Drosophila melanogaster: one gene and its partners. The protein of the gene in region 4 purifies or fractionates together with the protein of the main gene of each other region. This does not show direct contact. Each region holds a gene or a part of one and is shown on either strand. Other genes may lie near its edges.

What was found.
Region 1: the proteins of Ada2a (region 4) and wds purify together in Drosophila melanogaster (affinity purification with mass spectrometry, with the first as the bait; 3 studies listed by BioGRID). This does not show direct contact.
Region 2: the proteins of Ada2a (region 4) and Atac2 purify together in Drosophila melanogaster (affinity purification with mass spectrometry; 3 studies listed by BioGRID, with this or other methods). This does not show direct contact.
Region 3: the proteins of Ada2a (region 4) and Atac3 purify together in Drosophila melanogaster (affinity purification with mass spectrometry, with the first as the bait; 3 studies listed by BioGRID). This does not show direct contact.

The regions. Positions count from the first base shown.
Region 1 is NC_004354.4:2,583,555-2,589,113, reverse strand, and holds wds (will die slowly), read right to left. Parts: upstream 3,135-5,559; 5' UTR 2,836-3,134; coding exon 2,565-2,835; intron 2,354-2,564; coding exon 1,728-2,353; intron 1,674-1,727; coding exon 1,485-1,673; 3' UTR 897-1,484; downstream 1-896. Other genes in the region: CG13760 (uncharacterized protein), read left to right, coding at 3,907-4,116, 4,179-4,447, 4,512-4,651, 4,719-4,822; AANATL7 (arylalkylamine N-acetyltransferase-like 7), read right to left, coding at 5,388-5,559.
Region 2 is NT_033779.5:18,608,478-18,614,505, reverse strand, and holds Atac2 (Ada2a-containing complex component 2), read left to right. Parts: upstream 1-2,256; 5' UTR 2,257-2,327; coding exon 2,328-2,737; intron 2,738-2,797; coding exon 2,798-2,949; intron 2,950-3,004; coding exon 3,005-3,179; intron 3,180-3,245; coding exon 3,246-4,477; intron 4,478-4,543; coding exon 4,544-4,899; 3' UTR 4,900-4,930; downstream 4,931-6,028. Other genes in the region: IFT46 (intraflagellar transport 46), read left to right, coding at 1-62; CG10333 (uncharacterized protein), read right to left, coding at 5,051-6,028.
Region 3 is NT_037436.4:323,927-330,572, reverse strand, and holds Atac3 (Ada2a-containing complex component 3), read left to right. Parts: upstream 1-2,580; 5' UTR 2,581-2,774; exon of another isoform or gene 2,775-2,895; 5' UTR 2,896-2,931; coding exon 2,932-3,027; intron 3,028-3,084; coding exon 3,085-3,438; intron 3,439-3,493; coding exon 3,494-3,706; intron 3,707-3,848; coding exon 3,849-3,869; intron 3,870-4,033; coding exon 4,034-4,151; intron 4,152-4,214; coding exon 4,215-4,540; intron 4,541-4,598; coding exon 4,599-4,693; intron 4,694-4,748; coding exon 4,749-4,818; intron 4,819-4,878; coding exon 4,879-5,337; 3' UTR 5,338-5,588; downstream 5,589-6,646. Other genes in the region: mthl9 (methuselah-like 9), read left to right, coding at 1-32, 92-295, 358-437, 499-533; CG32344 (uncharacterized protein), read left to right, coding at 5,918-5,920, 5,975-6,524, 6,579-6,646.
Region 4 is NT_033777.3:18,251,812-18,257,903, forward strand, and holds Ada2a (transcriptional adaptor 2a), read right to left. Parts: upstream 3,677-6,092; 5' UTR 3,570-3,676; coding exon 3,506-3,569; intron 3,426-3,505; coding exon 2,564-3,425; intron 2,506-2,563; coding exon 1,743-2,505; 3' UTR 1,645-1,742; coding exon of another isoform or gene 1,464-1,644; intron 1,402-1,463; coding exon of another isoform or gene 1,227-1,401; 3' UTR 1,032-1,226; downstream 1-1,031. Other genes in the region: CG12320 (uncharacterized protein), read right to left, coding at 1-888; Polr2D (RNA polymerase II subunit D), read right to left, coding at 1,227-1,401, 1,464-1,644, 3,506-3,569; moi (modigliani), read left to right, coding at 3,805-4,001, 4,061-4,400; Tgs1 (trimethylguanosine synthase 1), read left to right, coding at 4,397-5,797. UniProt on the Drosophila melanogaster protein: Component of the histone acetyltransferase (HAT) complex ATAC; predominantly involved in acetylation of histone H4, including at Lys-6 (H4K5ac) and Lys-13 (H4K12ac).

The DNA of each region.
Region 1 (5,559 bases), on a different chromosome or scaffold from region 4:
GTCATTAATATTTGCGATTTTTATATTGGAATATATGTGTTTATATTTATAAACGTTTGTCGCCTTGCTAATTTTCTGCCAATGAACACCTTCTTCCACTCTCTCACCCCTTCTCACTTAATCTCTCTCTCTCTGCACCGGTTCACGCCGCTCTCTCGGCGTACTTTGCACAGGAAAAAAAAACGAAGGAATTGCAGCAGAGGCGCTTGGAAAAGCTCAAGCTAACAGCGATTTGTTTAAAAGGAAAATCGATTTTCCCACGACCGTTGTATTTTTTTTCTTTTTTTTGCTTATATTGCCACTTCTTTCTCACTATGCGTGTCGCGGTCCCTATGTGTGTGTGTGTGTGTGTATGTGTGCGCGGTGCGGGTGCTTGCGTGTGTGTGTGTGTGCGCGACGGCGGCGGAGCGATATTGATTTGCAAATTAATTGCAAAATTCACTTGGCGACTTTTGTTCAGCGGGTTGGCGCGCGCATCGCAGGGGCATTCGGATTCGGCAAGGTTCTGAATCAAGTGAATCGAATCCGTGATCTCCGAGTTTCGATTCGTCGGTTTTTTCGATTTTCGTTTCGCCAAGTGACCGTCGCGCGCCGTTGTCGAAATCCAGTGGCAAACGTTCAAACTGAACGGGCAGTGTGGCCCTCTTCAACCGAACTCAACGCAGGGTCGCACTCCAATAGGCGCTAGAGTTTAAAAATAAATAACTTAAAGAAAACGTCTACGTTAAGTATTATACCTGTGTTCATTCATTTAAAAACCGTAATATATTAAACGTACTTATTATCGCTTTTAAACCGTAATGAAGGTTCGTTTGTTTCGTAATTTTGCTAAACTGTATGTTTTTTTAGAATTAAAACTTCTCTTATTATGTGAATAAAATGCAATTTGTACATTTAAGTGTCTCGCCTCGAAAAGCGCGCAAGTTGAAAGGACACTTGGGCGCCGCCGAGACGGTGTTTTCTTTTATTCAAAATTTACATTTCGTATTTTATATATATTCTTTCTGGCGCTGGGATTCTGCCCCGAGCACCTGTTGTATCTTTTACGCTTAAATTTAGTTTTCTCGTCACCGAAAGATCATTATAAGTTATGTTGGTTTGCGTGGCTGTGTCAAAGGTTACAAACAATTTTGGGGGAATATTCTCGCTTGCATGGTGGGCCAATACAATAGGCTAATAAATATTTATACATTAATCGTTTTTTTTGTTTTCACTTTTTGTTGTTTTTTTTTTTTGTTTTTGTTTGTTTGTTTGTAATTTTTCCGTTTTGCCGTAGAATGTGAGGTTTAAAGTGTGATTTAAACGTAGAATTTTAGAGTTCCTTTTCTTTTTTAAATTATGCGTACAAAAAAAAAAGGGGGCTCGTGGTGGGGGGGTGTGGGGGTGTTACAATTACGATTAGGCTGTTCGCTTTAAAATAATATTATCCAAGAAATGTATGTGTGTGTTCCGATCGAACGTCCTCCAGCTGGATACCAGCCACTCTATGTATCCGACTTCCACAGCTTGATGGTCTTGTCGTTCTCGAGCGCCGCGGAAGCAATGATGTTCTCCGTGGGATGGCAGGCGGTGCACAGAACGGTATCGGTGTGTCCCTGCAGCTTTTGCACCACCTCCTTGCTCTGCAGATTCCAAATGTAGACCATGTTGTCCTCGCTGCCACTCACGATCCACTACAATGGACGCTTGTGAGTTAAAGCCTAAATGTGCATAAGATATGAACTCACCTTTCCTCCCGTCACCGAGAAGTTGGCGAATATGCAGTACTTCTCATTCTTGTGACCCGTATACGTCTTCAGGCACTTGCCCTTCGAGTAGTCCCACAACTTGAGCGTATTATCCAGCGTGGCGGCCAAAATGTACTTGCCATTGGGCGAGAACTTTACAAAGCTGACGGGCGGATTGTCGTCGTCGATCAGGGTTTTCAAGCACTGTCCACTGGCCGTGTCCCATATGCGACAGAGGCCGTCGTAGCTGCTGCTCACGATCAGCGATCCGTCGCGATTGAAATGTACCGCCGAAACGGGATCGGAATGGGCGGGTAGAGTCTTCAGACACTTGCCGGTGCGCACATCCCATATGCGAACGCTCTCGTCGAAGCTGCCGGAGACGATCAGATTGGACTGCGGATTAAAGTTGCAGCAGAACACATAGTTGCTGTGGCCCTTCAGAGTTTTCAAGCTCTTCCCGGTGCTCAGCTCCCAGACCTTGAGCGTCTTGTCATCACTGCCGCTCACGAGGAGTCGCGAGTCTGAGCTCCAGGCCACATCGCTGATGCCCAGCTTGTGGCCCGAAATGGTCTTCTCGAACTTGCCATCGTATGCTCCCCAGATTTTGATTAGTTTATCAGCGGCTGAGGGTTAGAAGTGGAAGTTTAATAGGCATGTGCTGTATGTATGGAATGTACAATATGTATTCTATAAATGCTTCTTCTCTTTTCCGAGATCTTATTTCATCCCAATTCCCATTAACTGAGCTGCCAAAGCTGCCTGTTCAGTCCAATAGCAGTTCAGTACCATAAAATTCCCCCCCAGATATTCGTGGATAGGGATGTATGTACTTACAGGAGCTGGCCAGCCACTCGCCATTCGGACTGAACTTGACCGCCGACACCGCCTTGGTGTGCCCGGCCAGCGTGAACTTGAGCGTGTAGTTGGGCTTGACGGATAGCGAGCTCTTGTTGGAGGCGCTGCTGTTCGAGGAGGTGGTGGCCCCCGGCTGGCCCACCGAGTTCGGCTGCAGCGAGTTTGGGCCGCTGGGCGCCGTGGGCAGTGGTTGCTGTGGCGGATGCACTACGCCGGGATGGCCGCCGTGCACGGCTCCGATGGGCACCATGTCCTCCGGATGCGGATTCTGCTTATGCTCCTTGGCCTGGCCTCCTTGTTTATTTTCCTTTTTTCTTTGGCACGCCGCACACGTGCTTCTTCTTCTTGTTGTTCCGACTAGAGAAACGCCGCCAATTAGCGGGCGAATTTGTTGGGCCTGTCGGATTAACTGCAGCTACTCCCGTTACCGGTGGTCACCGGCTGCTCTCTCTGCTGGGCGTGTGATTTGTTTGTTTAAATAGGCGCTTGGTTTTTTGGCTCGTTTGCGTGCCACACGTGAAAATAATAATGCTTAAGGTCACACTAATAACTAAAAATTGGTCAGCGCGTCAGTGTGGCCGTTGCGCACCAGCCACGGATTGCCACAGCGGTGGTGGAACGTGTTTACTCGATTCCTTGCTTTTTGTTTTTTTTTTTAGGGAGATTTGGGATGTTTTCGTCCTTGGGGGATGATTCTAGAATGGGACTCTTAGTTTCCCGCTGAAACTATCAGGGGGAGTGCATCGGGCACATCGATGCCAAATTGCATGCAGTTAGCTCGACGTTGCCAGATCGTTTCATACATGTTTGAAGTTTCGCGTACAGTTGCATTTAAATTTATACCAATTGCCAGTAGTTATTTAGTCTTAAAATTGCAGGTAATTCTAACTGAACTGTCAATTTTGAAGGGCTTAAGAAGGATTTACATAGTGTTAGAACATTTTTTGCGCCTTTAAGATTTCAAACCAAAAATTTCCTAGCAGCAACCAAGATTTGTAGGAAAATACATCTAACTCCTTTGGCGACTCACAATTTATGTATAAATATTATTTAATTACAATATTTACAATATATATCTAAAAAAATTCAATTGGCATTTTTTTCAACTGGACATAGCCGACAGTTGGCATTCCGCAGACAGCTGCACCTGGCCACACTGGCCCAAGCTGTTAGACCAAAACATTCCCAGTTCAGTTTCCAATTGGACGCCAGGATCAAAGGAGCGCAGCCGCGGGCACAGGAGCACGCGAAGCACACGGAGCCAAGGACTCGAGGACCCGAGGAGCACAAGAAGCCAAGAAGAGCCCAGCTGCTGGCCAGAATGAACGGACTGCCGCCGAGCAAGCACTACAACCTGACGCACTACCAGCAGCGCTACAACTGGGACTGCGGTCTGTCCTGCATCATTATGATCCTGTCGGCGCAGCAAAGGGAACAGCTTCTTGGGAACTTTGATGCCGTGTGCGGCGAGGAGGGATTTGGCTCGAGCACCTGGACCATCGACCTGTGCTATCTGCTGATGCGCTACCAGGTGGGCATGCCGTGATGCACATTTGCATTCGCTCACTTCTTTGACACTCTCTTCTTGGCCAGGTGCGCCACGAGTACTTCACCCAAACGCTCGGGATCGATCCCAACTACGCGCAGCACACGTACTACTCCAAGATCATCGACAAGGACGAACGGCGCGTGACGCGCAAGTTCAAGGACGCCCGGGCCCATGGACTGCGCGTTGAACAGCGCACCGTGGACATGGAGGTCATTCTGCGGCATTTGGCCCGCCACGGACCCGTCATCCTGCTGACCAACGCCTCGCTGCTCACGTGCGAGGTGTGCAAGCGCAATGTCCTAGAGAAGTTCGGGTGAGTTCCTCTTGCCACCGGCGATTCACAAAAAACCACCTTAAATCCACACTCGAATGAAAAGCTGTTTTCATATACCCTGCATTGCTCAAAATACACGCCTCCATGGACCCAAAAGGTATGCCGGACACTATGTGGTGCTCTGCGGATATGACATGGCCGCCCAGAAGCTCTTCTACCACAATCCCGAGGTCCACGATGGCCGTGAGTATTCCATTTGGTAGCAATCCTTGAAAATTCATTGATTTTCGTTTTTGGCTGCGTTCCACAGACATTTGTCGCTGCCTCATCGAGTCCATGGACACGGCCCGACGCGCCTACGGCACGGACGAGGACATCATTTTCATATACGAGAAGAAGGAAACTAGGGAGTAGTAGATGGATAAACCAGCGGAACAGATGAACAAATGAACAGATGAATTGATGAACAGATGAACAGAAGTACCTGCCGTCGCCAGGTTGCCAGGTGATGAGAACGGATGATTGGAATCTGCGCTTGTGATATTAGGACTTTAGGAGGAGACCTTGTAGGGGGGGACTTCGAGTGGGAGGTAAGAGAAAAAGCTGTCTGGTTAACTTTGGCACAACAGTGTACTTTATTTAGGTATTGTTAGCAGTTGGTCCCCATACAAAAAAAAACAATTACAAAATTATATTTATGTAAACGTGCCAGGCAGCGTCTACTCGTACATTATAGAGGCGTTCCATTGACGCTCCAAAAACCGTCGACGGAAAGTCCGAAAATCCAATGTTATTTCATAGTTATGTTTAAACACAGAACAATAGTAATTGTTCCCTAGCTTTAACTTTCCGTTAAACGCCCCCCAACTAATTTCCATATTTGTAGTACGAAAACATTCCAATAACGATTATGCAATGTATGTATATGTAGAAAATAAATGAGATTATTGTTCCAAATGTGAGCCAGCCGGGTGACTCCTTAAAGCGACTGCTTCTTCTCATCCTGGTCATCCGCGCAGATCGCCTTGTAGAGCTGCTGCAATTTGATGTGGGGCGCCTCCACGGGCAAGATCACCTTGCCATTCTCATCCGTATACTTGCTGTAGGGTTGCTCCGAGAAGACCTCAAAGCCATGGGAACGAAAGATCTTC
Region 2 (6,028 bases), on a different chromosome or scaffold from region 4:
ACATCCATAATGTCCAGACACTCTTTGCCCTCTACTTGGCCGCCAGTCAGGCGTGGGAATAATAGATGCATATAAAACATAAATCATACAAATGATCAAGGAAATCAAAACATAATTTGTTCTTAAAATATATGTTTTAAAGTTAATAAAATATTTATTCTTATAGCTTACAATTTATTTTTAATTTCTGTTTTGTATCTACTAAAGAAGTGTAATAGAGATCCAGACACAATTACACCTGACTGCAAAGAATTTAACAATTATTGTTAAATTATATAACTTATAATGCTATTTAATCAAATATTCATCGAGCATCGTATATATTTTCTCAGTGCATCGGCTGGTAGCAGCCCCACTAATAACGCTAATGGCTTCGATTAAGTGACAGCCAGACGGCGTTTGTTTGCCCCTCACGATGGGGGGATGCCCCCATATCCTTCCCTTACTTTTCCCTTTGTGCCAGGACCTGGCCTTAAATCGTTCGGAAAACGGTCAAGCCATGGCCGTGGAGCTAAGGTGCAATAAGTCTGGTGATTGAGAGCAAATACGGTTGTTATGAACAAAATGGGTGGCCAAACAAATTCTAACCAGCATCGCATCTGTAAATGTCATAATCAGCTAGTAAACGACTATCCAATTTGTCAAGCTCTTTCCAGAAAATATTTACCCTCGAGCTTTAAGTGATTTATGAGTGAAACTCATTTTAACTTTCGCAAAACTAAGATATAGATATACTTTAAAACATAATTCGGGGATATACTTTTGGCTGTAGTAGCACCAACAAATTAATTTGTTTCACCATATTTTTCGCTCTTTTCGACTTGCCAGCGGGCAGTCGCGAATTAAATGAAAATCTCCTCGAGGCGCCAGACAAGCAAGTTGAAAGGAATTCAACTACAGATATTAAAGGCAGGGAAGAACTTGAAGTGCAATATTCAAATTGAATTGAAAACGATGAGTGTTGAAGTGAAATCGTAAATAGGTGCATATCCTGTAAGATGCACAAACTGCATGCTTTGCAGTAATAATCATTCGGCAAATAGAAAGTGATTTACAAAAGAAACAATTGTGGATCCGTTCAGCTTTGGTTCTCAACTGAATACCCCACTTAGCCGGCCTGCAGTTTCGACCATCCCACTTCAGTCCATAAACCAATCATGCACTTCATCAAACACACAACAACAGCAGAAGCAGAAGCAGAAGCAACAGCTTCGCCAGAACGCAGCAGCCGGCGATGCCTAATTAGGCCCGCTTAAGACAACACACTGACCGGGCCAAAAGCAATGGGGCCAGGTCCGATGGTCGATGGTCTGCCGGAAACAGCCTTAATTATGCGTAAGCCGTAAAGAGCCCATTAATGTCATTTTCGTTGCATGGCCAAAGGACGCTGGGCGTTGGGTGGTGGGTGGTGGGCGTTGGTACTAATGTGCTTGGTGGGCGTAGGGCGTGACAAACGCATGCTTGATCAAGCGAAACGGGACTGTACTAATCAAGCGGATTCTTATCTTCTAGATAGGGAGAACATAAAAAACAATCGGGATCTTTTATATAGTGTATATAAGGGCATAAGGATATGCTAGATTCGTTGAAAAGTAGGTAACTGGCATAAGAAATAACAAAAGAAAAAGTCATTCCCGACAGTATTAAGCATATATATGTAATCAGGATCAGTGGACGAGTCGATTAAAACGTGTCCTTCTGTTCGTCCGTATAAGCGCTGTGATCTCGGGAACTTAAAAGTTAGGAAGCTAAGATGGAGCAATCAGATTCTAGACATGTAGACGCATCACAGTTTGTTTCAGAAGAATGCCACGCCCACTCTAACGCCCACCAAGAGCTCAAAACTTTTAAAAAGTGTTTTGATATTTGCTTGCAATTTCTAAAAATGTGACAAGAAAATGTTGAATACACCTGAGAAGAGGGTATATAATATGCGAAGACCATAGCCTTGTCTCTGTTCCATATTAATTAAAAATGCTTATTTATGACATTTTAACAATAAAAAATTATTTTAAATTATGTTAATGCTGACATCTTCGGCATTTTAAAACGGCAATGTTAATAAATAAATAAGTGCTTAATAATAATATGTTTTGTAGTGCTTCAGAAAAGATCAATTAAGAATACAAATTAATTTTATTTTTTGTTTTCCCAATTCAAATTATTGACAAATTTGAACCGAGCACAGTGCGATTTTTTGGTATTTTCAAAATGTAAGCTTCTCATATATATGGTATAAACCAAAAAGTGCGAAACGGTAACACACAAACAACACATTATTTTGTTGATTGTTTTTAACTTGCAATTTGTGCTGTTTTACTGAGTAAATGAATCGGCCCAGTAACTGGGATGATCCCCAGGGACCATGCCGCTACTGTGAATCGCCGGTGGAGGACGACAACTACCTGGAGTGCCAGGAATGCAGGCGGATGGTTCACATCAAATGCCTGCCGCATGCTTGCACGCCCGGAGATCTTTTAGGCGACGTTTTCTTCGAGTTCACGTGCGTCAAGTGTGTGCTGGATAAAGCTAAGGAATCGGTCATACCCTCAGATCTAGAACCCATTAAGGAAGTGATCGTGCGCCAAAGGATACCTTGGCTGCTGGTGCTCACCCTAACGCTCTACAATCTGTCCATCAAACAAAAGGGCTTGGGACACCATGGATTCTTCCATTGGCGCACGCACATCATCAGTTTTGTGGACAAGAACTGGAACTATATATTCGGTCCCAATGTGTAAGTATTCGTAAATGAATAATTTCCGGAGAACACATTCAATTTATTCCCCTTGTTCAGGCGGCGTCGCAAGCAATGGACTGGTTCCGTATCCGGCGCACTGTCCCACAACAGTCCGGAGTACTTTCAGTCTGGTCTGGATGTCTTTCAGGAGAACGGCTGGTGGAAACTGGCCAAGCCCTTTCAAACCCCAAGAAGCGTTCTCAAAGAATGTAAGTGCCACTTAAGTTAATGATATGATAGATTTCACAAGTCGTCACATTTCAGATGAGAAAAAGCAACAGTTGCGGCTACAAATGCGTATTGAAAAGCGGTTGCCTGCAGCGGACGAGACCAGCTGTAGCAGCGAGATCTCAGTGGCGGATCATGCCCAGGATAACCCACCGCTTATTAAAGCAGAAGCTGAGAAACCCAGTTCAACAGAGGGCTGTGCGCGAACAATGTAAGATAATTAATTTTGAATACAACTATGCGTTCCTTTCATTAAAATCTTTCACTTTTATTCCAGTCCCTACATGGGCCGTTTGCCAAAGATACAAACACAACCTTCACCCTTGTCACAGGAAACGCTTCCAGGGCCACCAATTCTTCAAGAAAATATAGCGCCACCAAGTCAGAAGGAGGAAGAACCACAGAATCAGCCTATGAGCATGGTCCAAGCAGGCCTGATGGATTTTCTGGCTGAAAGTTTGGAAAGCGATGATTTTACCATGTTTGGTAACCTACCAGGCATAATGCCCCCACCCCTGATTGGAGCGGGTAAAAATGATTTCTTCATGACCGAGCCGTTGCTTCACGCACCTTTGAATAATGAAGGTCTTTTCGACATGGATACAAATTTTGCCATACCAAATACCGCTGATGAGACCAAACCCATATCAACAGAAGAACCTGCAGCCGAAAGCAGCGAGGAACAAAAAGAAGGCGAGGTAGAAGATGAAAAGCCAGAAGAGGACGAATCACCCGACTATCAGCCACGCATCGTACAGGTTACAAATTACCAGGCGCAAGAGGCAAACGAAAGCATCAAAGAGGAACCACTAGAAGAGATAATGCAAGATGATGACGTCACGACAAATAGCAAATCCTCTATCCTAGAGCCTTGCAAACCGAGTGGATTTGTCAGACAACCACGGCGAAATTGGCCCTGGTTGCAGGAGGCGCAGGATCCCGATGACATGGCCATTCCTAGCGAAAATCTCAAACTAATAAATGCATACGAAGAACAGAAGTTGTACCAGCGACTCGATAGAATATTCGCACTGGAGCATCAGTGCCACATATCCATACCTGCCTATGTGCGGCGCCTATATCGAAAACTTTCTCTTCGAAAATGGAAAAGGGACCACAATCGACACATATTTAACTTGGACGAGCACATAGATCCCCTGGGAAGAGCACGCCTAAAGATGCTGGGTCATCAGAAGGCCGAAATTCTTGACAGATATCAGTTGTTAGCCCATTCACGACAAGATGCAAGGAGCTCCTTTCACGCCCGCCTGGCGGGATGCACTCAATACGAGCTCTTTGAATCGCCCTACTCTCAAAGAGTTCTTCATCCATTTATCTTTCGGAGCGAAACGATGGCTCCTCCATGGCTGAAGCTTATGTGCGAGCTGCAGCATAGAGTAAACGGATCTCATCCCACAAGATCTACCATCGACTTCTGTTTTGTGAGACCGCAGCATATTCCGGCCGTAAACGCATTACTCCAAAGTACTTTTTGGCCAAACATTGATGGTGGGTTTCATGATTTTCTTTTTAGCTTTTTTAATGTACAAATTTGTATGATTTTTTCCCTTTTAGTAAGCGAGTGTTTGAGCTACCCGGACTACAGTGTAGTGGCGTTGTACAAGAAACTGGTCATCGGTTGCGGATTCCTAGTGCCCGACGTAGGTTACAACGAGGCCTACATCTCATTCATGGCGGTGCGGCCGTGCTGGCAACGCAGTGGCATCGCCAGCTTCATGTTATATCACCTTATCCAGACATGTATGTCCAAGGACATAACGTTGCACGTTTCCGCCACCAACGCGGCCGTCATGTTGTACCAGAAATTCGGATTTAAGATGGAGGAAATCATCTTGGACTTTTATGACAAGTATCTGCCTCTGGACTCGAAACAGAGCAGAAATGCCTTCTTTTTGAGATTACAAAGATGAGACTTTTTTCAAATAAATGGTTTATGAATCTAAAGTTTCAAAAGACTATTTCGAAAGAGAATTTTTGGTTGCCAAGGTATGGCTTTGGCGCACCCAACTTTATTAGTTTTAAATTTTAACCTAAAGTAGTTCTGCTTAGAATTTGCCAAATTTAGGCGAATATTTTTTCCTCCCTGCGCTTTTTGGTAACCACCGTGCCAGGCTTGTGCTGCGCTTCCGGGTGATTCATTAGCTCCGGCGGACAGGTCGAGACAGGACTTGCAGACACACATTGCTTTAGATCGTAGAACAAAGCGCTATCGTCCTTGGTGACAAACGAAATGGCACAACCGGTTTTGCCGGCACGACCCGTACGACCGATACGATGTGTGTAATCCTCGATGGTCTTGGCCATGTCATAGTTAATAACCAAGGACACGTCCTTGATGTCGATACCACGACCAGCGACGTCGGTGGCCACCAGGATGTCCTTTGCGCCTGACTTCAAAGCAGCCAAAGCATACTCTCTCTGCTCCTGACCCTTGCCACCGTGCAATGTGCACGAGTTGTAGCCGAGTTTCTCCAGACCCTTAGCCAAAACATCGGCGCCCTTCTTTTGATTAACAAAGATAATAACTGGTGGATCGATTTTCCTCGAAAGAATCTCCATAAGCTTCTTGCGCTTGTCGTTCTCGCCCATCATGTACACTATTTGCTCTGTTCTCTCTGTCGGCTTGCCAACAGATCCGATGTAAACCGTTGCCGGTCGCCGGAGATATGTGCGAGCTAATCTTTCCACAGCCGGAGGCATCGTTGCCGTAAACATCACGGTTTGGCGGTACTTCTTCTTAGTGTAGAAGTTCTCCATCAGCTTTGTTTCGTCCTCAGCCTCCTCGGTATCGGGCTTCAGGTTGGTGACGGGCATGTACTCCAAGATCTTTTGAACATCTGGCTCGAAGCCCATGTCTATCATACGATCGGCTTCATCGAGGACAATGTATGTACATTGGTTCAGCACCAAATACCGATTTTCCAGCACATCAATGAGACGACCTGGCGTAGCAATGACAATCTCGCAGCCCAATCGCAGGCGGAAGCCCTGCTCCTCTCTTGACAAACCACCCACAACGACCACAGTTCGTATGCCCAA
Region 3 (6,646 bases), on a different chromosome or scaffold from region 4:
TTGGGCACTCAACTGAAAATCGTCAAGACGCAGTAAGATTTCCTAAAAGCTGTTTTTATTATAGACCTATTTATCTTTTATATTCCTGCAGTTTCTATGCCTTTAGCGCTTACATAGTGGGCGTGTTTGCGGTCTGGATCCGAGAAATAGTCGTGTATATAATGGCCAGAGTGAGAGAGCATTTCTTCATCATTGACTTCTGGAGTGGAATTTGCATTCTGGGCCTGGCCATAGCTGGTTTTATTCTGCTCCTTGGCAAGAATTTGCACGTCAAATCCTGGTGGGCCATTAATGTGTAAGTTGAAATATTCGAATAGAAGCTATAATATTTTAATTGCCCATTTTTTTTTTTTACAGGGAATCAAGTCAGACAGATCTGAGTATTATTAATGCTCGCGTATACAAGTTCGATGAGAAAGGCGATCTAAAATCTTCAGGTTGGTGTTCATCTTATTGCTTTAATTTATCTTCTTTTAACATTGATATTTTCCTTCACAGACTCTCCCTACAAGCCGACAGTGACATCACTTTAACAGGAACTGAGATTATTGCTCATCTGTGAACTCTGGTATTCATATTCATTATGAATCATTTAGTCTGTCGCACACGGGAGAGTATATAAATAATAGTGCCTCAGTACTCTAGCATATTATGATGTACATTTATATCTTTAAGAAGAACCACATTTCTAATCACTTGTCACATTTACAAGGTGCCAAAATAAATATTATAATTCACTTGGATTAATAAGAATACTTTTGATTTGATGTACGCATTTAGTTTTTTCATCTTAATACCACATGTAGTCTCTACCTCCCCTGAAGACCAAAAAAGGCTTCCCGGTATGATCAACGGTAAATCATTCTTCGAAGGAAGCGCTTGACTCGATGAGGAGGGCCAAGTTAACTTGGGGGCCCGCCTGGATTAGTCGCATTTATTGACGCATTAGAGTGGGCATGGCTTAAATGTTGTTGCCATATCGATCGAAAATGGATAGACAAATAATAAAATGGCCTTGCAAGTTTTGTGCAGTTTGTGGGCTTGTTAATCTTCTCAAACAAACTGACGCTACCCGTCTACTTCCCTAATTTCTCAAGTTTCAAGCGTTTTAGTGTTCATTCACACATCCCACTCCGTCCAAGCAGTCAAATCGGGTATGCACCAGATAAAAGTAGTCAAACGGACCAAATCGGACGAAGACTTTTGAAAGGGAAACACCTATCGATGATATCGAATTTTCTGAAAGCGATAATATGGATATCCGGCGACTCGGACGATTTTTTTATCCAAGCAAAGGCCACACTTTATTTTTATCGTATATGTACATACATATATAATTCGCGGTTACGAGCTTTGCGCCATTTATTGGGCAACTTACCTTCAAACTATGCACAATTGATGCCCGCTATTTACAAACTGAGTAATAACGCGAATAACACTTTTTAAAATGTAAATTTCATATTTTTTCAATAATAATTTCCATAATACCAATCATTTTAATCAGCCCATTTTTATATTTTTCATAAGAATTATGTGGATGTACTCACCTATGAACTAAGCTCTTTGAACTCTTACGCAATTTCCCTGCAAAATAAATATATCCCTCTCATTAGGATAAGGTAAAAATTTTGATTGCAAATCTATCTCGTTGATTATAAAAACTTCAAAAAATCCGAATTTCGGTTTACATTTAACTTTGCGAAATATGGATAAAAATAGTAGCCAATATTGCTATATTTTTAAGAAATTTATAAATTTTAAATTTAAGAGGAAGACCAATAGCACACCGCAGAAAAAAATGGCTGCTTTAGAGATCTTAAGCTTGCATCTCATTCTTTCATCCTTACCACCGCAAAGTAAAATGGCGGTGGAAGAAAGAGACGAAGATATATTTTAATTGCTTAAAATCTTCCTTATCAACCCAGAATACAATGGCGGCGGAAGAAAGAAATTGAAACATAAAATTATGCTCTCTATTTTGTTTTAGATCAACAATGGTCACCTAGAATATAATGGCCGCTCAAGAGCATGAAGAATATTGTTAGTCTCTTCTTTTTAACACCAGTAATGAAAAAAATCGGAAAGACTACACACATGTACTTACTATTGTTTGTACGTATCCATTTGCTATCCATCACATATTTTGCATTTTAAATTAACATTTCCCCAATATTCACTGGGAATTCTAAGCCTAGCAAACACATACACTTGCACACTCACACACATGACGAGGATGAAAGAGGAGTGGAGAAAGCAACAAGCTTCTGGCATTGCCGTTACTTCCTCTTCTTTTCATACCTCGTAAGCTTTAAAAAACTGAACAAAAATGATTGCTGCTCTCGCAAGCTGTAATTTGCACGTGCAACATTGATTTCAATTAGACCGCTGCACATTTACTTGATTACCGAGTCACAAAATTAGTTTAAGTTTGCTCATTGCGCGTTGCAAACCTCGAAACCGCGAACTGTAAAAACGATAAGATAAAGTGTGACCGTGCTTGATATCGATCAGAAACTTTCGTCATGTAGAGATTATCGATACCTATTCTTCCTTTTTGGTATATACCAATAAATTCAGCTTCGATTGCCTTATCCTTCGTATTATTACTTTGATCAAGTAATGTCTTACAGGATTTAGCTGTGATTTAAATTTAAATGTAAAAAACGGCAACGCAGAAAATGATTTAAGTTTAACATGATTTTAGACGATTGAAGAAACTAATGCTATTGATGCTATATGACGAAAGCTATTTCAAAAACAATTTTATCTGATAGGTGAGTATAAGCCCTTTTCTATGTCTGGTCACACCGCAGAGATCTAAAAACGTAAACATTCATAATTAAAGCCATTCTTAGCCTTTGCTTAATAAACTTATTGAAGTAATGCCAATTATAGGCCTTCACTCGTCCCTGAAAGTGTTCTTCTGCTAAAATGCACAGTCTCGGCGCCAGCAAAGTCGTTGCTACTCTCCGAGCGGATGGTCACGTCTACCCCATGGAGAACTCCAACCTGATGCACTACGAGATCGTAAGACTCGCGGTACCTTGCTTGTAATTCACACTAACCGAGGCGACTCCTTCATAGCGCACCGAAGGGGATGTCCAGCAAAAGAAGGGGATCCTGGTGGGTCCGGCCACATGCGTTGACCTGGGCAAACAGCTGCTCCAGTGCGCCAGAGACAGCGATGTAGCTGGGGTCAAGGCGGCGCTAGCGCATGGAGCTCCCTTCGCTTCCGACTGGCTAGGTATGTCGGCACTTCACTTTGCCGCCATGAACAATCAGCTGGAGATTTGCGAAATCCTCCTGCAGGGGGGCATTAACATGGATGGCAAGACCAAGGTAGACCGAACGCCGCTCCACCTAGCCTGCTACTACGGTCACGAGCGGATAGTCAGCTTGCTGCTAGCGCTAAAGTGCAGCGTCAACTCCCGCGACATGGTAAGAATATATAAATAAATGACTGTTTAAAATGACTAACCAACATTCCTGTCAGCTTCGCATGACCCCGCTGCACTGGGCGGTCGAGAAAAAACACAAGGGAATTGTGCGCCTGCTACTCAAGTGCCAGGCAGATGTCACCTTGGTCTCCAAATTCGGCAAGACGCCGATCGGACTTGCCGTGTACACGGAACAAGCGGATGTGCTGGCGGAGTTGGAAGCGGCACGACAGGCGCAGGCCAGTAAGAAGTTACACGAGGAATCGGAGGTGAGTGCGCTTGAAGAAATCCACTGAAGGCCATATTTACTACTTAATATGAGGTTTTACTTACGTTTCGCTTGGCTGTTCCTTATTCTTAACAATACAATTGATCGCTGCCTTTTCCCACGCTGCGCTTATCAAACTTCAGCAACAAGCACATAAGACCAAAGTATGTACTTTCGACAACTTGTATTAGGTTGTCACAAATAATAGCAAGAACATTCCCAACTTTGGCCTACATTCCTGATCCTAAAAAATTGTGACAAATACTTTATTCCCAATTGATTCGCAGAAAGAAAAATCATATCATATTTATTCCCCATCGATTTGCAGAAGGAAACCAATGAAGCTGTCAGCTCAATAATGGACGAACCGGAAGTAATTAAAACCGTGGACGACAAAGAAATGTCGGTTGAAGAACGAATGGATGTCCTAGAAAACATGCGAGGCCGTAAGTTACTAGATTCGGAGATATTAAACGAATATTTAACGAAAAACCTATTTTCCCTGCCAGATGCAAACGTCCTGCGGAACACTGCGCTTTACATACTAAAGACGCACGAAATCGCAGACATGGTGCAGGACAACGATGACGAGGACTCGAAAGAAATGCTGAACACTGCGTTGCAGAATGGACGCCAACTTGTCCTCTCTGAAGGAGGACGCATGCTGCTGCACGAAACAAAATCGGGCATCAGCGGCAAGCAATCCACGAACGGAAACGCCCGGCCTTCGGTCGCAGCGCTCCGCACAAATGTTAATAATTCTCATCCCAAGATTCGGATGAATGTCCTGAAGCAGAAGGATCTTCCGTCACCGGCGGGAGTTGCCAAGAACAAGGTATGCATTTCATTGTTTTGTTTCGCTAATTCGTATAATAATTAATATTTGAGGGCAGAATATACGCATTATCTCGTTGACTGATTTTAAGAAACTCTACGGATCGGACAGCACGGCAAAGTCCCTTCAGAAAATACCCGCCTCATTGGCAAGGTACGTTAATTTCACATATTTGGGAGATATATATAAGATCTTGCCTTATCGACAGCTCTGGAATGGTGCGGCATCTTCCCGATGGCACAAAGCTAGTCAACATGCGCCAGTTGCAGGCTCGACAGGTGAATATTAAATAGTTTCTGAGCTCACCTCCTTACTTTACTTGAACCCCGCTTAATTAGTTAAAGCTCCCCTCCCTGCAAAGGCCGCAGGATCTCACTGCGCTAGAAGAATCACACAGCCAGAACGAAGCCGCGGTCCCATCCCCACTGCCTTCAGGCCATCCCGCGTCGGGCAGTTCGCTTAGGGGACAAGTGGGCACCGTCCAGACGATACAGCTGCGACCTTCACTCTCGGCAGGATCCGGCCAAGGCGCAGTAAACAACGGGGCGGCACCTGGCAAGACAATCGTCAATGCGACGAAGCAGTCGCCGAAATCTCCGAACGTGATGCCGCTGCTAACTTCTTCTGAGATCTGTCGCCAGCTTCACGAGTTGCGGCGTCAAAACGAAGACCTGCGGCGGCGGGCCGACTCCTTTCAGCGGGAAAAGGAGGAAATGCTGAGGCGCATTGACCGCCTGGAGCAGATGGTGCTGGTTCAAGAGTCGGAGGCGGACTTGGATTTTGGAGAGGACGTTTAGTTAATGCAAAGATAAGTTTAGCGTAAGTTCGATAAGGTATATTTAGGATATTCAGCCGATAAGTGCATTTGTAAAGCACCCAGTTTAATGACGATTTCATACCATTTCTTATCGAAACCTTAATAACTTGAATGCTATGAGAGCTTTAAACCAATTCGGATGTCGATAGAAATATATCGTTTAAAAAATTCATTTTCAATCCATAATCTGCACAAGATGTAGCATTTATTTAATACATTTACATAGCTATTAAATCGCACCAGTCTTTTATATCTGTTATTTTCCCGTTTGGTCGAGGTCTTATGAGGTTTTTTCCCTTTGGGCATATGTAAGCTATCCTCTAATTTTAATCGGCAGTGTATATATGGTCGATTTAAAAGATGGTCTACTCAAAATAGTAAATATTAAAATAATAAAACGCGAGTTAATCAAATGAAAATCTAAGCGCCAATTACAATGCGGTATATTGTAGCGTTAGTCAATTTTTAAGAAATCAGTGTTGGATAATTTATGGAGTTATCGATAGTGTGGAATAGTCATCGATTTTGCACGTGTTGTTTTTATTCAAAACAAAAAAAATATGGTAAGAGGATTGTCTCTTGTTGCTTAGCTTTCAATACATACTTTGCATTGGCAGCGTAAGAAGCAGGCGGATGAAATACCAGGCTTTCCATCACTGGACAACGATGCCGGCACCAGCGACCGGGGCGCCGACATTCTCAAGTCCAAGTCCAAGAAGAACAAGAGTGGTGGATTCCAGTCGATGGGCCTGGGCTTCGAGCTGATAAAGGGCATCACCAAGCGGGGTTACAAGGTTCCCACCCCCATACAGCGGAAAACGATTCCGCTGATCCTGGAGGGACGCGATGTGGTGGCAATGGCCAAGACGGGCTCTGGCAAGACGGCCTGCTTTCTGATTCCGCTCTTTGAAAAGCTACAGAGGCGCGAGCCCACAAAGGGGGCCCGTGCCCTGATCCTGTCTCCGACGCGCGAACTGGCTGTGCAGACGTATAAGTTCATAAAGGAGCTGGGCCGCTTTATGGAACTGAAGAGCATTCTGGTGCTAGGTGGCGACTCCATGGACTCACAGTTCTCGGCCATACATACCTGTCCGGACGTAATTGTTGCAACGCCAGGTCGTTTTCTTCATTTGTGCGTAGAAATGGACTTGAAGCTAAATTCCATAGGTGAGTTGATAGTTGCGGACCATAAAAGCAGGAATTAATTTATTTGCTCTCTAGAGTACGTGGTGTTTGATGAAGCCGATCGACTCTTCGAGATGGGCTTCGGCGAGCAACTGAACGAAACG
Region 4 (6,092 bases):
CGTTAACTTGTGCTTGGTGACCGCCGTTTGCGAGTGAGCCAGCAAGCCCAAAAGCTTGCGCCAGTGGGCCAGAGACTCCACAGAGTAGCCCACTAGGAAAAATGCGTAAGCCAGCTGCAGTTCCTCAATGAGTCCATCGGCCGTTTCAAAGCCTTCGAGCAGTTTGTCAACAGCATCGATGCAGTCCAAGGCATGGCGGGAAACATCAGCGGGCAGGGCATCTTGTGGAACACGCAGGGGTACGGTAGTGAAGCGCGGAGCTGTTCCTTCCACGGGCTTAAGGTCCGGTAGGAGTTCGCTCTCATCTAAGAGAATCCGAGCTGCAGCATTCCGGCGGCTTATGCTGACAGTAGCGGCTCCACCTCGCGGCCGATCTGCGTCCGGGCAGGATTGCAGTTCGATGTTCGTACGGATGGTTCCTTCTGTCGGACGGCAGCGATCCACGCAAGACTCCGTCACGCTGCCGGTGAGTTCCTTCCACTGGACCACGTAACGATAGTCGTACGGCGCCAGCACGCGCTCCAGTTGGGCTAGGTTTTTGCGTATTCGGTCTCGCTCCACTTCCGGTTCGGCAATCCTCCGCGGGCGCAATTCCTCCAGTTCGTGGTCCCACTCTCGTACGACAATCTCATTCGGATGGAAGAAGTGCACGAATCCAACACGAGGGGCTGCATCGCCGTAGGGACCACGGGAGGAGCACCATACGTAGTGGACTCCGGGTGGAATCATCTTGACGCCTCGGAAATCCGGACCAATGGTGTAGGCACAAAGATCAATGCCGAATTCCGTGCCCTCGGGTACACCGGCGATGACCAGCACTCCGCCATCAGCCAGGAGGCGTAGGGCTAGCTGCGGATCCATTTTCATGCTGGAGTTGTCCTTGTTCATTGTGAAATATTGTTCGCTTGCAATTATTAGGAAAAAGAAAACAATTGCAAGTGCGGGCCTTTCAGCAAGTTGCCAGATGTGACGGCTATTTCGATAAGTTCTTTCATGTGAGCAGTCTGGCAACACTAGACAAACAATTCTTTCAAGCGGCAAATTCAATTTATATATACTTTTTTTTAAGTAAATCTTTTGTTTGATATAATTACATTGTATTTAGACTTTGTTGATTTTTGTTACAGTGTATATTCTGCATTTACTTAAAATTCTTGCTGTTCTTCACTTTATTGTGTAAGTGGACCATGACTTTATATCTAAACTATATTTATACGTAGTAGTAATTAGTATTGTAAGCTGCGTTTAGTGCCGATATCGTCGAGTATTTGGCGCAGCTCCTCATCCTCGAAGCGACCCTCTAGTGAAGGAATCAGCGCCTTGGCCTCCTCGGGCGCCTCCGGACACAAATTACCCAGTGCCGCCAGTTCGAATTTGTGCAGCTTTTTCTGCATCAGCAAGCTGAATTTGAAATAATTGAATATTACTACTCGTACGTGCTTTGTTCGGTTTTGCTACATTACCTTCGCGCAGACATTATGGTCTCCTTGTTTTTGAACTTTCGAAAACTATCCGTGTAGGCGTACGTCTTCATGAAGACCTCGGAGAACTCTTGCTCCTCGTCGGCGGATTCGTTTTGTCGCTTTCGGTGATCGAGAAGCATGTGCACCTCCGATATCAGCAGCGTCTCGGCATTTTCGAACTCTGAAACAAAGAGAAACGAAAGGGTTTTTTTTTCTTGAATTAGTTACTTGACGACATTCAGGAAATTTACAAGTGAAACATTGGAGAAAAAATTAGCCCTAGCCATAGGACGGTGGTCTGCTGATATGGCCATGTTCCAGCAGAAAATCGTAGATCTGACGCGTTTTGTTCACGTCAATTTTGATGAGACGTCGCGCATCGGCCAGTCGTAGATATCCGAGCTTTGCTTGCTCCGTAACGAGTTGATTCTTGTAGTCCAAATACGACTGCGGAACCAGACGAGCCACACTGCACAACTTTCGCTCGCCATCATCCAGTTTGGAGTAACCAGGCAGATCTGGGATCAAAGAAAAATTATATTCAGTTGGTGTCAGGCAATGAGTAAAGTGTTTCCCACCTCCAATCTCAATGGGACTGGCCTTTCGACGCGTGTTCATCACATATAACTTTGAGTTAATGGCCAGGGGACCAGGATCACCGCTCCTGTTGCTCTCGTAATGCTGCACCAATTGCTGCCAGTCGAAAGCATCTGTTTGCTTCAGCCTGCTGTAATCTCGCTGAGCCTGCTGACGTTCTTTGCTCAAGCGGGCATATAATTTGGCTCCGGAAAGAGTTCGAACGCCGTGCTCCCGCAGATCGTATAGCTTGTGCAGCTGGCTATGCAGCTCCCGATAATAACGCAGAGACTCCAACAGCATATCGAACTTAATGGGGTCAGGACAGATCTGCATGAAGCCCAAGAAACGCATGCAACTCGCATCGCTGCCAAAGGCGTGCACGTACTTGGAAATCCAGCTGACGGTGCGATTGGGCATTATGAGACCGTGTTGCCTCATTATCTTGTAACGACGCTGGCGCTCTCTGTGAGTAAATATGCATATTAGATTTTTTTTAGTAGCTTTCTGTTATAAGATCATACCTGAGGCGATTGTTGTATGCCCGAACTAGTCCGAGTTGCAATTCCTCTGTCACTTCGCGCTCAAACTCACTCTCAGACGCCTCGTTGTCGTCATCCCTGCCCCTATGATCCACCATAATAGATAGCAGACTCTCTGCTGAGGTGTCGTACGGAGTATCGAAGTCTCCTCTTGCACAGCGGTAACCTGCGCTTAGTCTGAACTGCATGGAGGCGATGTCGTCATGACGTGGTGGATCCAAGCTGCGCATTTTGAAGACATACGGCATTCGCTCGGGCACATAGCTGTCCCTCGCATGCTTCAGATTAAGGAGCCGCTCGAATATCCCGCCAAAGTAGCAATCGTGGTAGTGACGACGCACTTCTGCGGGTTCGTGGCGCTGGTCCAGAGCCTGGGAGACCGCCTCCCAGTTGCCATAGCCGTGGGTGCGAAGTGTTTTCAGCAGTATGCGCTCGTCCCGTGCCGTCCAGTGTGGCTCATCGGCGAAAACCTGTATGTTGTCGCGGACTATGATGTAAGCGTGGTTATTGCGGTGAGAAAAGGCCTCCTTTCCACGTGAGAAACATTGCAGGCAGAGCAGGGTGTCGAGGCACTCGGAGCACTTAATGTACGGCTCTGTGAGACTGCAGCGACATGTGGCACACCGATTGGCATCCTTTGTAGCCGATGGAACACTGCTATTCTGGTCCCGCGTCTTTTCCTCCATCTCCTCCAAGTACCTGTGCAACGTGTGCGGATTATACAAAACCATGGAGTTCCTGGTGTGTTCATTCTGATGTGCATGGATGAACCGCTTAACCTGTGGCCCCAGTGGCTCAACTGCAAAGAGGCAATTCAGTGTGGTAAAAATGTGGAGGAGTGCCACTTTTGGGGCACTCGAAGCCAAAGGTTTCAGCCAGTTTCACTTGTAAGTTGCATTTCGGTTGGTGTAGGGCGTTGGTTACCTTTGGGAAACTGCAGGTCGGCGGCGTCCTCATCCACCATATCCACGGGGTTCATAAAAGACATAGTGAGCTAAGAACTGCTCAGTTTGTTAAAGTTTATATTAAGAAATTCTAATTTGCACAATAAAATGTCGCTGTTTTTAGTGATGAGAAAGGCAGGGCTATAACTGGCGAAGAAGCTATCGATAGGTGGGTCGCATCGTGCGTAGATACGTTGGTCACACTAGCAAGCATGTTGAGTTTATCATTCCGGGTGTTTTGATTTTGTTCGGAATTCTTGGTTTTTTTCCAAGAGAGTTATGTCCCTGGTGCCAGAAGCCTCTACCTCGAGAGCGCCCAAGTACTGCTACTTCTTCAAGACCCTGCTGGTGGAGGAACTGGAGCTGGAAACTTCCTACCACAACCTGCACTACGGTCAGTGCGCATTAATTGGACGTCTGGCGTTCAAGGCGAATCAGTACCGCCTAGAAAACGTGCGCGTTAAGTGTTTGCCAAAGTAAGTTTTTCTATATTACCTATCCATCCGGTCCTTACCAATGATGCTGCATCTTTCAGGAAGTACTCCTTGGGCGAGGGCACCGTATCCTTGCTTATTCTTGGCCTTACCCATGACAAAGTCGTCGAAAATCGCGTGAGTACCGGCCGCTACTGCATTGTGCGTGGTGAAGTGGTGCTACATAATGTGCAGCATCCCAAAGGTGCCAAACTGACCGCCGGCGGTGTCTACGACAAGATCAATAGTCTGTCCAACGATCCGTTGGCCCAAAAACAGTATCTCAGCGCGCTACTTGCCACCTACAGACCGGCCATCGACTTATGGTACATCCAGGTCATCGACAGAGCCGAGGACTTGCTGACTCGCAGGCTGGAGATGAGAAGTCTGATCGAGAAATGAACACACACCACCTGACCACCTCGCGAACCAATCCGCAGTTCTATATATTCAGTCAGCTCTTTGGTAACGATTTCGACTGGAATAATTGCAATTGGGGGGGCATTCAAAACGTTACCTGGAAAGAATTCTGGCAGCGTGAGGGGCATGAGCTGCTCGAGCAAAAGTGGCACAAGCGGTTTCCCGAATACAAAGATCTTATCGAGGTGGTTTCGTCGGAGGAGCAAGGCCTTTGGCAGGAACTGTGGGAGAAGCACGCCAGCGATTACAGTGAAAAGTTCTGGTATATATTTAGCTGTGCCTTTGAGAACTACCAACACGATTTGGCCAAATCATTTGGCCTTGACGTCGCTGAAAACTCAGAAGATGTTGAGGAGGACTTGCAGAACCTAAGCCTTACAAATAAGCCAATAAAATCGAAACAGCAAAGGGTCACAGAGAAAGAGGAGGACGAATCATACTTGACTGCCAACGACGATCCCGAGGATTGTGACGAGGAACAACAGCTGCGCCTTCTCGGATTGCCAACATCATTTGCGTCGAAGGCAGATATAATTAATTATAGAAAGGAAAGAAAGACACAGTACGAACTATCTAGCAGCGATAGCGAGGACGATCATGATCTGTTGACCATGGAGAACAACGAAAACGAGGCTCTGCACGGCGTTCAGAGCGGTTCTGTTAAAAAGAAAAAACGACGGCAAAGGCAAATAAAAAAACTCAAGGCCAGGATGCCAGAGTGCATGCAAGAGGATAACAACAAAATGGTCAAGTACTGGGTCAAGCGATTCTCGCTGTTCTCCCGCTTCGATCAGGGCATTCGGCTGGACCGCGAGAGCTGGTTCTCGGTGACACCCGAGAAGATTGCCAAACAAACGGCCCGACGACTGGCCTGCGACGTGATCGTAGATGCTTTCTGTGGATGCGGCGGCAATGCCATTCAGTTTGCAAACACCTGTGGACGCGTAATTGCTGTGGACATCGATGCCGAGAAGTTGGCCATGGCCAAGCATAATGCCGGCATTTATGGTGTGGCCCATAAGATCGAGTTTATCCACGCCGATTTTCTGCAGTTTGCGGCCAGCACAAAGCTGCGCCCAAATGTGGTTTTCCTGAGCCCTCCGTGGGGTGGTCCTGACTACCAAAAGCAGGCCACCTTTGATATCGAAACAGGTCTCCTGCCCGTGGGTGCTAGCCAACTGATGCAGCTGTCCCGTAGCCTGGCATCTGACGTAGCTTTCTTTCTGCCACGCAACGCCAATATGAAGCAGGTGGTCGCTCTAAGTGGAGTTGGGCAGCAGTGCGAGGTGGAGCACAACTATCTGGACACCCGAATGGTTGCGCTCACTGCTTATTATGGTAAAGGAATCATAAAGGGTTCAGTGGGAGAAGATGAGTAGGATTCGATTGAGAGTAATTTTAATAACATCATTGTTTTTATATAAATAAATATATTTAATTTCATACATATGTATAGTTGAATGGATTTAAAAAAAAAAACGGGCTCATAATTTCATGGCATTTTTTGCTTATTATTAGATATAAATCATATTCAAAACGAGCCAATAACATAATATGAAAATAAATCTATGAAAGGCATTTTAACTAATATGTAATACAAATGATTTGGTAAGTATCTTTAATTAAACTCGAAGCATATAAGCACACAGAGTTCACAAATTCCTGTAATTATGG